4 linked regions of the Macaca mulatta genome follow. The protein of the gene in region 2 binds, or shares a complex with, the protein of the main gene of each other region. Links are inferred from orthologs where the notes say so. Each region holds a gene or a part of one and is shown on either strand. Other genes may lie near its edges.

Region 1 (3,520 bases), on a different chromosome or scaffold from region 2:
TATACCACTGCACTCCAGTCTGGGCTCCAGAATGAGGCCCTGTCTCTTAAACAAAAACAACCCAGTCCTTGCAGGAAATATTGTAATACAGCTATTGTTTTTGTACTTTAATGGCATTGGAAATTGCTGCTACTTCTTATCCAAAGGGCATAATTCAGCAGAAGCCTAGGCACTTTGAAATAAGTAAGGCAGCCAGTAAGCTGAGAGGGGCAAAGCCATAGATGCTTATTAGAGTGACTCCTGTAATAGTAACAGAAATAAACTGGACGTGAGGCAAATGTTGACCAGTAAGAGATTGGTTTAGAGAGTACTGTTCTCTCAGGTCTGGTAGCTATGGTTAATTCATAGCCTTTCCTCTGTGCCAGGCAGTTCTCAGCACTTTACGTAGAACTCATTTGATCCTCAACCCTGTAGGATGAAACCCTGTTTATCAATGGGGAGGTGGAGGTACAGAGAGGTGACATCACTTAACCTGAAGTCATAGAGCTAGACTGGCGGCACAGATTTTAATGTAGTCTGGCTCCTTCGTAAGCTTTCACTAAGTTATTCTGCTTTATGGAGAAAGCAAATTGGAGAATTGAATATTTAATGAGGATATTCAGGCCGGATCATAGCCTATAATCTTCAACAGGTAAGAGCCAGCAGCTTGCTGAGCTCCTTCAGCCTCTTTAGTTCTCCTTTGCGAGGCGTCTGGTTCAAGGTGGGCTCTCTTCTGAGATCTCAGTGATAGTGGAGGGTTAGGAAAAGGCATCGAGAGACCAGCAAGCAGCAGCAGTGGGTGGCTGGAGGCTTCAGCACGTTGGTTAAGATGGTGGGCAGCTCAAAGAGTGAGGACGGATGAAGCAAGCAGAGGCCGCTGCCCTAGTATATTCTCGGGGTGGGGACAGAGGACTGCATTTGTGAACCAGCTGGTCCAGGGGCTCTCGATTTGGGGTTGGCATGCGCATTAGAGGTACAGAGTGTGCTGCCATGTGAGGCTGAGAGCAGGGGAATGAAATAAAGGTCTCTGCCTAGGTACAGATATTGTAAATAAAGGTGTGTACTGTTCTGCGGCTGTTGCTTTTGCCTGCTTGATGGTTTTGAGATTGAACCATATTGCCACAAAGCTTTATTTTGATTTTAACTGCTGTGTTATGTTCTGGGAATCTTTTTTATTGAGTCTTTGTTGAGATTTCATTTGTTAGTTTTTGTCTTTTTTTTTTTTCCCGAGACAAGGTCTTGCTTTGTCACCCAGACTGGAGTGCAGTGGCGTGATCTTAGCTCACTACAAGCACCGCCTCCCAGGCTCATGCAGTTCTCATGCCTCAGCCTCCCGAGTAGCTGCGTCTACAGGCGCCTGCCACCACATCCAGCTAATTTTTGTATTTTTAGTAGAGATGGGGTTTCACCATGTTGACCAGGCTGGTCTCAAACTCCTGAGCTCAAGTGAACCGCCTGCCTTAGCCTCCCAAAGTGCTGGGATTACAGGTGTGAGCCACCGTGCCCGGCTGGCTGTGTTCGTGTTTTAGTTTTCAGGAACATTGCTGTGTGTGTGTCCTTGTGTGTGGACACATGCTTCCTTGTCACACACCCGGAAGTGCGGTCAGCTGCAGGGTTGTAGGAGATGCAGATCTTCAACTTGACCTGATAGTGCAAACCACCCTCCAGTGTGGTTTTGCTGATGTGGCCTCCACCAGGAGGAGGGGTCAAGTGCCGTGAGCCTCGGCTAACAGGACAGAAATCGAAGTATGTGGCTTGAAGTTGCCATGGTGACCTGGGAACCTGAGGTGGAGAGTGACAGAAGCGAGATCTAAGTCCTCATCTTGGAGAAGCTGTCCAGTAAATAATTTTTCAAGTTGCTCAATCATTTAGAGACAACTACCAGAAAAATTAAGAACGTAATTGTCTTTTTGATTTTATGCTTTCTTCTGTGCATTTAACTGTTCTCACTCTGCATGTCTAGCCTGTTTCTGAGGTCATGACTTAGTCAACCCCATGTTCCTCCTTCAGTAAAGGCTTATTTCTTGTTCGGGGCTTCTTCAGCAAGTCTCTTCACCAACCGCTATTTCCTCCGGAGTAACTCCTGAATCCCTTTTCCACCAACCCTCTACTTCTTTTGCAAACAGTAAAAATGAAGACACCTGTAGTTATGTAATCTAAGAGTTTTGCCTTGCAAACAGTTATTTTTAATGAGTAATATCTATTACTCAGTAAAATCTAAGCCCAGTTTTGCATTCTGAGTGATAGCCACATTTTCTTTCTCCGTAGCAAACTTGCAAATAGAAGACCCAGAGAATGGTACCCTAAAAGTGTTACTTTCTGCTTTATATTGTTATTTTCACTAGCACTTGTTATGTTCAGCGGTTTCTCTGTGGTGGGTACAGTTGTCACACGCAGCTCACATCTGCACAGTCACTCCAGCGTGTTAATGCCTCTGTCTGTGTTGTTTTTTTGTTCCACAGTAAGTACCAGCTCGTCTTCTGCTACACCATCATTGAGAGGAATAATCGCCAGATGCTGCCAGTCATTAGAAGTACCGCTGGAGGAGACTCGGTGCAGACCTGCACAAACCCACTGGACACCTTCTTCCCCTTTGATCCCTGTGTGCTGAAGAGGTAGGTACTTTAAACTTTGACGCTGGAGGAGGTGGATTTATATGTGATACATGTTTGCTCTTCCCAAGATTGGGATTTAGGGCTCTTCGCCAGAAGTGGCCCTTCCTCGCTGTTGATGAGCGTCTCGTGGTCTCCCTGCGAATATTTCACAGGCCCAAAGTGGAGGATGCCTAGCAGGACTTGCTGAGTGGCGCAGGCACCCCAGAGTGGGTGGATCTTTGCCTCACTAGGAGCCAGATTGATACCAAGGGTTTTTGTTTTATTTTTTATTTTTCTTTAAACTGTTATTTAAACATATAAGGTTGTGGGGATAACAGTGCCAGGATAGGGGAGGGTGCTGTCTTTTCTTGCTGCATAATTTTCTGTCAAGTGCCTTGTTCCTTCCTCTAGAGACCACATCCCATTCTGTTGCACAGGATAAACAAAAAACAAACGATTGGCTGGGCACAATGGCTCACGCTTGTAATCCCAGCACTTTGGGAGGCTGAGGCGGGCAGATCACTTGAGGTCAGGAGTTCGAGAGCAGCCTAGCCAAGATGGTGAAACCCTGTCTCTACTAAAAATACAAAAATTAGCCGGGCGTGGTGGCAGGCGCCTGTAATCCCAGCTACTTGGGAGGCTGAGGCAGGAGAATTGCTTGAACACGGGCGGTGGAGGTTGCAGTGAGCTGAGATTGTGCCATTGCACTCCAGCCTAGGCGACAGAGTGAGACTCTGTCTCAAAAAACAAAAAAAAAAAAACAAAAAAAACCACGATTTATGTAGATAAATTATTCTAGAAAACCAGTGGGCCAGCCTTAACTTGGCACTTGTATAAGGAAGCAGGATTTTTGCTTATTATGGTTTCTAAAATAACTAGCAGCATCATGACCATCTGGGATTGTCTGGTCCCTGAAGTCTTGGTTGACTGAAACCAGATTAGTTGTT
Region 2 (3,520 bases):
GGCCGCTCCTCCTGCAGCTGCCGCCGCTTCTCCTCCGAGAAGATGAACATGGCCGACACGGGCCGCTTGGGCTTCTCGGAGCCGCCCTGTCCAGGTGCAGAGGGTCGGGGTCCGTGGTGCTGCCAGGGAGCCCAGTCTTGCCCACCCCCGCCTGCGCGGCCGCACCCTCTGCCCACCTTGCCCCCTTCCTGGGCTGGCTTCTTGGAGGCGGGGCTGGTGGCCTGCTTCTTGTTGATGTTCAGCATCTTCTCCTCCCCCAGGACCCGCTGCTGCTCCTCCTCAGGCAGGCTCTGGAGAGGAAAGAGGGGCACAGGGCTCACGAGGGCTCTGCCTGCCAAGCCCCAGTCCTCTCTGCCCACTGCCCTACTGGAGGAACACTTACCTCCAGGAAACGGAGCAGCTCCACCTCGTAATCTTTCTTTTTCTGGGAAAGTGAGTGGAGTCAGGATCATTCTGGTGACAGTGTCACCACAGACCCTGCAGTACTCGGAGGACAGTGACCTTCAGTGGGCCTCCAGAGCCTGGGTGTGGGCTGGACTCCCTGCCTGGATGGGCTCAGTTGCTAAGCCCAGCCCAGCCCCACACCGAATTGGAGGCAAGTACCCAAGGCACACGCCACCAGGGACTGACTAGCCCAAGATGGGATCAGACCTCATGCTTCAAAACCCCAAGGCAGGGTGGCCCCTGCCACAGCTCACCTGGTCACACTTCTTGTGATAGGCGTCCTTCTCCTTCTGGGACAGCAGCTTCCACTGCTGGCTGCACAGCACCATGCGCTCCGTGCTGGGCACGTCCTTCATGTTGGCCATGAGCTCTGCGCAGTACAGCGAGTAGCTGTTCCTATCAGAGCCATGGGGAGAGAGGCGCAGCCCGTGAGCAAGCAGGACAGCAGGCCGCCTCACCCGTAGAGCCCAGCCCAACTTCCCAGCTGCCCACTCGCCCACCCACCCCAGGGCAGCACTCACGGAGGTGGCTTAGTGGGTCGCCCATCAAACTTGTCCTTGAGCTGGCGTTCAGCTTTGGTGAGGGTGGACTTGGTGATACCCTCCTCACTGATGTTCAGCTCTGGGTGCTTCTGGATATAGTCTCTCATGATCTCCTGCAGAGCCAGGTGGGGGGATGGAGGGCAATGGGGTGTGGGGTTAGCTGCGGCAGGGGCACGGGGAGAGCCGCTGGGGAGGGCAGGCAGGGAGCAAAGCTGGGAATGGCTGCGCGTCAATGGTGTCACATGAGACATGGTGCCCTGCCCTGCCCTAGCCTGAGATCTCATAGGGGTGGGGGGTGGGGAAGGTAGGGGCAGAGGTGAGGGGCCCAGAAGGCCCCTCCCTCAACAGAGGATGGGGAGTGACACCTCCCGCAGAGTGCGGTGGCCACGGAGTCAGAGGGCAGAGGCTCGTGAAGAGCCGGACAGGGAGGAGCGCAGCGGAAGCCTAACCTCGTACTCCTTCCGCTGCTCCAGGGCCTTATGAATCCATTTCAGCCTCTTTTTGTCCGAGAGCTGAGACCACTGCTTCCCCAGGGAGTCCTTCACCTCCTTCGTAGTGGCCTGCAAACCAAAAGCCGTCAGACACGCACAGGCAGCCAGGGGCAGGGGGAGGGGGAGGGGGGAAGGGGGCACAGATGCCCCCGCCCCCTCAGGCCATGGGAGGTCACATCAGTGTCCCCCACAGGCCAGGAGGGGAAGGCGGAGAGCGGCAATCCCGCCTAGGTGCAAGGGGACTGGCTCATACACGCACGCACGCACACGCTCGCACGCCAGCTGGCCCGGGCCCTGTCCATGCAGCCCACCCCTGGGGAGGGGCCTCCTCTCCTGCTCCCCTGCACCGTGCCCGGCCGACCTGGTGCGGCTCCCCCCTGGCCACCGCCGTGCATCCTCCATCCCCAGCCCTTGGCCGGACACTCACATCTGGCCGCACTTTGAGATACACCTTCTTCTCGTGGGTGTACCACAGCTGCTGGGGGGTTTTGGGCTTCTCTGGGATGTCCGATTTCTTGGCATTCTGGATTAGGTCGGGGTGATCCTCCCTAGCCAGGACATGGGGAGCAAGGATCAGCAGGGGACGCTGTCAGGGCAGACCCAAGCTAGCTGCCCCACCCACCAAGCCTCCTGGGCCTTTCAGCTGGGGCTTAGTGGGACAGTGGCTGCCTGCCTGTCCCTGCCCCTGAGCATGACACACTAGGGCTCACATGTGACCCATCCTCTTCCATGCCTCAGAGATGGCAAACTCCAGGCTCTGGCCAGGGTTAGCCTATTCTGCTGCCCCCAGTTCCCCATAGCCCTCCTCTGGGCTCCACTGCCTTACCTGAATCGGGCCAGGTTTCGCTCGAACTCCTGTTTCTCTCTCTGGAAGTCCTGAATATATTTCATCTGGGGGGAGGAGGGGATAGGGTCACCCAGGACCCAAGGGTATCTTGCCCTGAGCTATGAAGGCTACCCAGGCCCCTCCTCGCTGGCTCTTCTGCCTCCCACGCTGTGATGCAGGGAGTGGAGGCTGGTGCCCTGCCCGCCTCCCGGCGGGACTCACCACAGAGCAGACCTGCTGGCTTCTACCACAGATGGTGGGAGCTGCAGGGGCTGCCCAGACACTGAATCCTATATCCTATTCTCTCCTTCTGAGCGAGAGTCCCAGAAGGGGGCCATGGCATTACCCACAGTCACACAGTGCGTGGTGGCAGCGCTGAGGCTCCCCCACTCGTTTCTCCAATACCACAGAACTCTCACAGTGGAGTCGGGTGCAGGCCTTGCTCCCTCTTCTCACTGTCTATGAGGCAGCTGACATTAGTCTGGCCCCTTGGAGGTGGCCTCTACATGGGGCCAGGGCTGGGCTGAGTCCTATTTCCAAGGCATGAGGGGAGATTGTGTGGAGGGGAACCCAGAGTAAGTTCTTCCAATACAAGTCACAGCCAGCTGCCCTGCACCTTCCCGCCTATTTCTGACACCATTACCTTCTTCCCTTTCTCTAGGATCCCAGCTGTCTGTCCCCTCCAGCCCTCCCTCCCTCAGCCCACTCATTCTCTCCCACCACTTGGCTTCCCTTCCCTTCATCACCCCCTTTTTGGCCTCCCCACTGCCTTCCCACCCTCACCTCACTCCCTCCCTGCATCTTTCCCCACTTCTGCAAAGTCTCCCTCTTGTTCCTCCTTTCCAATGTGTCTCTTTCTCTTCATCAACCTCCTCTCTTGGCTGCCACGCAATGTCCATCTCTTCTTTCATCCTCGCAGGCTCACAAGAGTGGCACTGGCAGGTGCCAGGAGCTCATGGCAATTGAGCCCAACCCGCCTCTTATAGAAGCACCAGACAGAGAGAGGCAGCGCTCCTTTCCCATAGTTCCCACAGAAAACCAGAAGCAGAGCTCAGCCTCCTCTTCTCCAATCTCAGTCCTCCTCAGACAAAACAGTTTTAGAGCTGGAGAACACCACACAGACCTGGCTCACCTCACATAAGGACCAGGCCCAGAGAAGTAAAATGACTTACCAAAGGCCCCATACACAGCGATTCAGTGGCAGAGCCAGGAGAACA
Region 3 (2,292 bases), on a different chromosome or scaffold from region 2:
TGTGGTGGTTTTACAATGAAAGGTAAAGCCCAAAGTACTTGATGAATTTTAGCTATTACTGTTATTCATGGAAGCAGCTTAAACATCAGTGCACCTAAAAAAAGTTTCACAGGTGAATTGCACTAACAATTAGATAAGAACATTTGATGTAAAAATGTTGAGACAGCTTTGTATGGAAACCAAGAACATATCTACTCATTTCTTTATTCTCACCTCCATTTTCTTAGAGATCAAAAGAAATCATAATCCTATTTTATTGCTTTTGACGAAAAGTTTCAGGAAGCAGATCTTGGCCTATGCTTTCAGATGTTTTCCACATACTTTGGGAATTTCACTGCTAGAGTATTAGTCTTATACAGAACTCCTACACAACCGAATCATGGACTCGCAGCAGTAAAGCTACCCTATTTATGTTAAAAGTTAAACTTGGTTTATTTTGGCTCTGTGGAATGCCTACTCATTTTACATGTACTTTCTAAGTACTTCTTTATTGATAGACCTTTCTTACGAAGTAATATTGAAATATAAACTATTCACAAAGCACAATTTGTCCCCTAATCTTCTTGCAGATGGTTTAGAATTAGTAGGAATATAAGCCAATGGGAAACGTGTGTCTCACCATCTAACTATTAGACTTGCTCTGAAGTTAGTGAGTTTTCATGGAACTCAATTACTAGTTATCCCAGCAGTAAATGTAAAAGCTGACATTTCTGAAGAAGCACTTATTCTACCAATTATCCCAACATATTATAAAGCTCAGCCCATAAACCAGGAAACTTGCTGTTGGCTTCTGGCTAGGTTTTCCCAGTGGGTTTACTGTGTGACTCAGGGATACTATTCCACTGGCGAGTTTCCTCCACTGTCCAGCTACATACCGCTGCATCCTAGTTTCCAAGAGAAAAAGGAGAGGGGACGCATGAGTTCTTTTTCTCCGAGACGGAGTCTCGCTCTGTTGCCAGGCTGGAGTGCAGTGACACTATCTCAGCTCGCTGCAGCCTCCACTGGTTCAAGCAATTCTCCTGCCTCAGCCTCCTGAATAGCTAGGACTACAGGTGCACACCACCAAGACTAATTTTTTTTTTTGGTATTTTTAGTAGAGAAAGGGTTTCACCATGTTGGCCAGGATGGTCTCAATCTCTTGACCTCGCGATCATAGACTGCTGTGCCAGGCACCAAAAAGCCGAGAGCCTTTTGAAGTGAGGCCAATGCCAACTGAAAAGAGCGAGCCCTCCCTACTGCTACAACCCAAATTAGTCCTCTAGAGCAAAAGGTCTCTCTCTAGCAGGAGGTTATTTTGCCCCAAACTGTCATGTCTTTATACTGAAAAAGAAGAGTTTCTTTTTTTTTTCTTTTTGAGACAGAGTTTAGTTCTGTGGCCCAGGCAGGAGTGCAGTGGTGCGATCTTAGCTCACTGCAACCTCCGCCCAATCGATTCTCCTGCCTCAGCCTCCTGAGTAGCTGGGATTACAAGTGCCTGCCACCACGCCCAGCTAATTTTTGTATTTTTAGTAGACACAGGGTTTCACTGTGTTAGCCAGGCTGTTCTCAAACTCCTGACCTCATGATCCACCCAACTAGGCCTCCCAAAGTGCTGGGATTATAGGCGTGAGCCACCGCACCTGGCCGAGAAAGAGTGTTTTCTAAATCCTTCTCTCTTTTCAAAATTCCTCAACAGAACTCATCACCACTATATTTCTTCATGGTAGTATACCTAAAATTGATTAATTAGCATATAAAAGAATATAAATTCATTTCACAGCACCACAAGTTATAGTTTATTACACAATAGCCAGAGGCAAAGTATTTGCAAACAATAACTGCTGTAGAACTATATTCTCTAATATTTTGTCATTTCAAGAATTATTCTTTAACAAATGTAACATTTAACATTACAAAAAAGAAAACAGACAAAGTTACAAAGAGCAAAGGCAGTAATACTGTTTCTCTAGCTATAAATAATACAAAAATATAAAAATATATAAAAATAAGTTTTTTGTAGTAATATAAGCTTAATACATAACACATAACTATATAAACACATTCAATAACTATCTACTGAGCTACTTACTGTGTAGCTACTACTGTGAAATAACTAAAATTCAGTATGAGAGTCTTGGATTTACAATACTGTATTTTTTCACAGATCTCTTCATCCGCTTAATTTTCTTCCCTAAGATTTGGTGATCTTGCTTTAAAATATACCGAAAATATCTACAACCTAAAAAGTAAAGCAAAATAAAAAGTTTTAATACTCATCACATTTTCACATTTTTCAAGTATATTTCTACATTT
Region 4 (3,249 bases), on a different chromosome or scaffold from region 2:
AGCCCCACCCCGAGGCTGCTCCTCCCCCACCGCTCCACCCCTGGCTGTACCTTGAAGCCCTTACCAAGGGGAGGCCCTGGGAGAGCTTCCCCACCTGCCTGTTAGCACCGGCTGTGGGATCCACTGCGTGCTGGGGCCACAGATTCATCCAGGGTTGAGTCTGGTTTGCTGGGTGGTTATCTGGGCCCAGCAGAGCCACTGGTAAGCAGCAGCCTCTAGTGCCCATCTGAGACAGAGCAGAGGTGGGGCGGGGCGGTGGTGTGTACCACTCACCTGGGTACAGACGAGATGGAGAGTAGGGGGCAGGCATTCAGAGCTGGAGTGCCCCAGGTACTGGGTGAGCAGGACACGCTCCCCTTTCTGGCACGAAGCCTCTGCGCCCACACGAAAAAGCAACAGACCACAGCCCGGCGGGCCCTGGAAGAGAAACACAGGGTCAGCCCTCCCCACAGTCCCAGGCCCATGACGCCATCCTCGCCCAGGCCGCAGCCAGCCTGGGACTCACTGCTCTGCGGCTGCTCCCGCAGTCAGGGCAGATCTCCTGCCGCCACCCCATACCTGAGTGTCAACCATCTTCACTCCAGTGCGGTCACCCACAGTCAGCACCCGAGGGTGGGCGGTGAAGTCTGCCCAACGCCAGGAAGAGGAGTCCCGGAACACAAGGGTCTCGGGGTCCTTGTAGACTTGTTGCAGCCTTGGGGAGATGGGCAAGCCATGGGTAGGGGGGACAGGCTGATGTGGAAGGGAATCAAGGGTCGCGACATGCTGAACAGGGAGTGACGGGCCAGAGTTCAGTGTGTTAGGGTGGGGGGTTTCATGGGAAGTGGCAATACCCATCCTCAGGGCTCCACAGGCAGACGGCTCCTGAGCGGCTGCAGATGGCCAGCTCCCCGGGCAGGTGAGGGCTACAGGGCAGGAACGCATTCACATCAGGCTGCTCGCCCCTGCCCCCAGCCCCTCCTCACTGACCAGACTGACTCCCCCTCACCTGAGGCTGATCCCTGTGGCCCCCTTCTCCACCTGCATTGCCTGCAGAAGGGTTGGCTGCCACTGTTTACCGAACTTCCACACGGCACAATGGTAGTCAGAGCGGACGGCCAGCAGAGCTGAGGAGGGATGGAAAGGGTCAGGGGTCAGGGGTCAGGCAGCAGGTCAGCCAGTGAGGGAGGAACATGTGTAAGGGCCTTACTTTCTCCCTGGACAGTGCATGTCACCACCTGCCGGACAGGTCCCTGGAGCTGGATGCGTCCAGGGTTCCCAAGGAATTGGGGACTGTCACCTGGGCTCAGAACAACCTCTTGAAAATCTGGGCCTCTCACTAAGGATCAGTGCACGAGCTGTGGCCACTGCAAGCCCCACATTCCTGCCCTTCCCTGGACCATGCCAAGAGCACCTCCTCCACCAGACGGGAGCCCGCTGGGATCGCCTGTCTCACAAGAAAGGATACGCAGCCTGTCCAGGGCGCCTCCAGCAGGGTAGACCAGCTGCCCGAACTGGGGTGTCCTTCCAGGCACCCAGGCCAGCGCACCCCCAGTGCAGGCCTCATCCAGAAGCAGCTGCTCCCACCGCAGCACCAGCTCCTCGTGCAGCAGCTCTGCCAAGTGGCTCGCCACCGATGTGCCCAGGATGGGGCCCCCAAGGATAGAGAAGCGGCGCTGTCGGTTGCTGAGGTAAGCCCAGGGACACCTGGGGACCAGAGAACAGCAGGAGGATCACTCAGTGGCACTCAGGGGAGGACAGGTCCCATCCCAAGGAGGCCAAGTGCAGTGGACACATTTCTTATTTACCTAGAATTTCTTCCTTTGGGAAACCACCCCATCCTGTTCCCATGCCCTGGAAGCAATCATGGGACCCAGACCTGGCCATCAACAATATTCCATTGCCCTTGCCACAGCGACTGGTTCACAGACGGGTGTGAGACCCAAGCCAAGCCAACCAAACTCCTTTCTGGGACTTCTGGTGCCTCAGGAAGGACACTGGCTCTTTCCTTAGATCATAAGCCATCTTGCTGCTACCTACAGACAGCCTGTCTAGGAACTGTGCAGGAAGAGGCAAGTGGACGACAGAGTAAAGAGAGACACAGCTCTACGAATATTATTTGAACACCTGGATGCAGCCATGCCTGAAGCCCACAAATTTAAATCTGCTTTCCCCTGAGATGATTTGGAGTTGGAAGTCTGGTATAAGAAAGTACAGCTCAGACTGCATGGAGCAGGTGGGAAGTGGGTATGACAGAAACCTGGATGTGCGTCCTAGCACCTCCTATATCCCCACCACCAGCTACGTCTATCCATCTCCTCCTTTCTCATTAGCCACTTGCCCCCAGGGCTGGTGTCCACCGAGGTCCTGGAGCAGTTTCTTCACACTGACCACTGTCGTCTTCTTAGTGCGGCTCTGCATGGAAAGGCCTCGTCAAGCTCACACACCCTCAAGTTCACCCCTGAAGGACAGCAGGGAGTCCCTACCCCTGGTGTCATGGGCCACTCACCCCTGCTCCCTCCAGCTTGAAATTCTCCAGCATCAGCTTCCCCAGGGGTGCAAAGGCTACGTCTCCATGATCCCAGAGGAACCGGCTGATCTGGGGAGAGGAGGAGGCCAGGTCACTAAGCATAGTCTCCAGGCTACGCAGCACTGTCCCCCGTGGGCCCACTCACCTGCTCAGTAACATCCAGCACGACTCGGGGTCGCCTCCGATACCGGTACCCTCCGCGGAAAAGCAGGTCCCGGGCAGTCAGGCCAGGGTCCCAGGGATCTGAGGAGGAGGTTACGGAAAGGGCTGGGGAGGGCACAGGAGTGCAGCCAGATGCCCTGGGCGGCTGGAGGCATCCAAGGGCTCTGAGCGAGCACAGGCTTAGCAGGGAGAGGAAGGTCTCAGGAGTGGGAGCTGCGGGAAGAATAGGTGGAGCAGTGTGGAATGAGCCCAGAGGAATGAGACTCTCACCGATGAGGGAAGGCAGCATGGGGAGAGGCCCAGGGGTCGCCGGCTCCCACAGCAGGTCCTTGGTCACATGCACTGCCCCGTTCTGAAGGGAAGACAATCACAACGACAGTATCATGATGAGTGCCTTCCCCGGGCCAGGCTCTGCGCAGGCATTCATCTTTTATCAACTCATCCAATCCTCACAACAATCCTGCGAAGTTGGGATGACTGGCATTGTCACACTACCACCTGCCCCAGATGACAGAGCTGGTAAAGAGAATAGCTGGGATGTAAACCAGGCAGCCTGACCCCAGAGTTCACGTTTCTGA

Evidence for each region. The genes of interacting proteins can lie anywhere in the genome.
Region 1: UBTF (region 2) and RRN3 share a complex: the UniProt entries of both Homo sapiens proteins name them as parts of the pol I pre-initiation complex. The link is inferred for Macaca mulatta from reciprocal best matches to the Homo sapiens genes UBTF and RRN3.
Region 3: UBTF (region 2) and TAF1A share a complex: the UniProt entries of both Homo sapiens proteins name them as parts of the pol I pre-initiation complex. The link is inferred for Macaca mulatta from reciprocal best matches to the Homo sapiens genes UBTF and TAF1A.
Region 4: UBTF (region 2) and TAF1C share a complex: the UniProt entries of both Homo sapiens proteins name them as parts of the pol I pre-initiation complex. The link is inferred for Macaca mulatta from reciprocal best matches to the Homo sapiens genes UBTF and TAF1C.

What each region holds. Positions count from the first base shown.
Region 1 is NC_133425.1:15,995,288-15,998,807, forward strand, and holds part of RRN3 (RNA polymerase I-specific transcription initiation factor RRN3), read left to right. Parts: intron 1-2,441; coding exon 2,442-2,594; exon of another isoform or gene 2,595-2,753; intron 2,754-3,520. UniProt on the Homo sapiens protein: Required for efficient transcription initiation by RNA polymerase I (Pol I). Required for the formation of the competent pre-initiation complex (PIC).
Region 2 is NC_133421.1:68,584,130-68,587,649, forward strand, and holds part of UBTF (nucleolar transcription factor 1), read right to left. Parts: intron 2,369-3,520; coding exon 2,304-2,368; intron 2,026-2,303; coding exon 1,905-2,025; intron 1,547-1,904; coding exon 1,436-1,546; intron 1,100-1,435; coding exon 966-1,099; intron 841-965; coding exon 699-840; intron 425-698; coding exon 383-424; intron 291-382; coding exon 177-290; intron 87-176; coding exon 1-86. UniProt on the Homo sapiens protein: Recognizes the ribosomal RNA gene promoter and activates transcription mediated by RNA polymerase I (Pol I) through cooperative interactions with the transcription factor SL1/TIF-IB complex.
Region 3 is NC_133406.1:80,401,821-80,404,112, forward strand, and holds part of TAF1A (TATA box-binding protein-associated factor RNA polymerase I subunit A), read right to left. Parts: intron 2,219-2,292; coding exon 2,100-2,218; 3' UTR 2,069-2,099; exon of another isoform or gene 1,752-2,068; intron 1,712-1,751; exon of another isoform or gene 1,355-1,711; intron 1-1,354. UniProt on the Homo sapiens protein: Component of the transcription factor SL1/TIF-IB complex, which is involved in the assembly of the PIC (pre-initiation complex) during RNA polymerase I-dependent transcription.
Region 4 is NC_133425.1:79,548,170-79,551,418, forward strand, and holds part of TAF1C (TATA box-binding protein-associated factor RNA polymerase I subunit C), read right to left. Parts: intron 3,024-3,249; coding exon 2,942-3,023; intron 2,753-2,941; coding exon 2,655-2,752; intron 2,579-2,654; coding exon 2,489-2,578; intron 2,395-2,488; coding exon 2,321-2,394; intron 1,687-2,320; coding exon 1,448-1,686; intron 1,307-1,447; coding exon 1,190-1,306; intron 1,107-1,189; coding exon 989-1,106; intron 906-988; coding exon 834-905; coding exon of another isoform or gene 695-833; coding exon 559-694; intron 418-558; coding exon 274-417; intron 1-273. UniProt on the Homo sapiens protein: Component of the transcription factor SL1/TIF-IB complex, which is involved in the assembly of the PIC (pre-initiation complex) during RNA polymerase I-dependent transcription.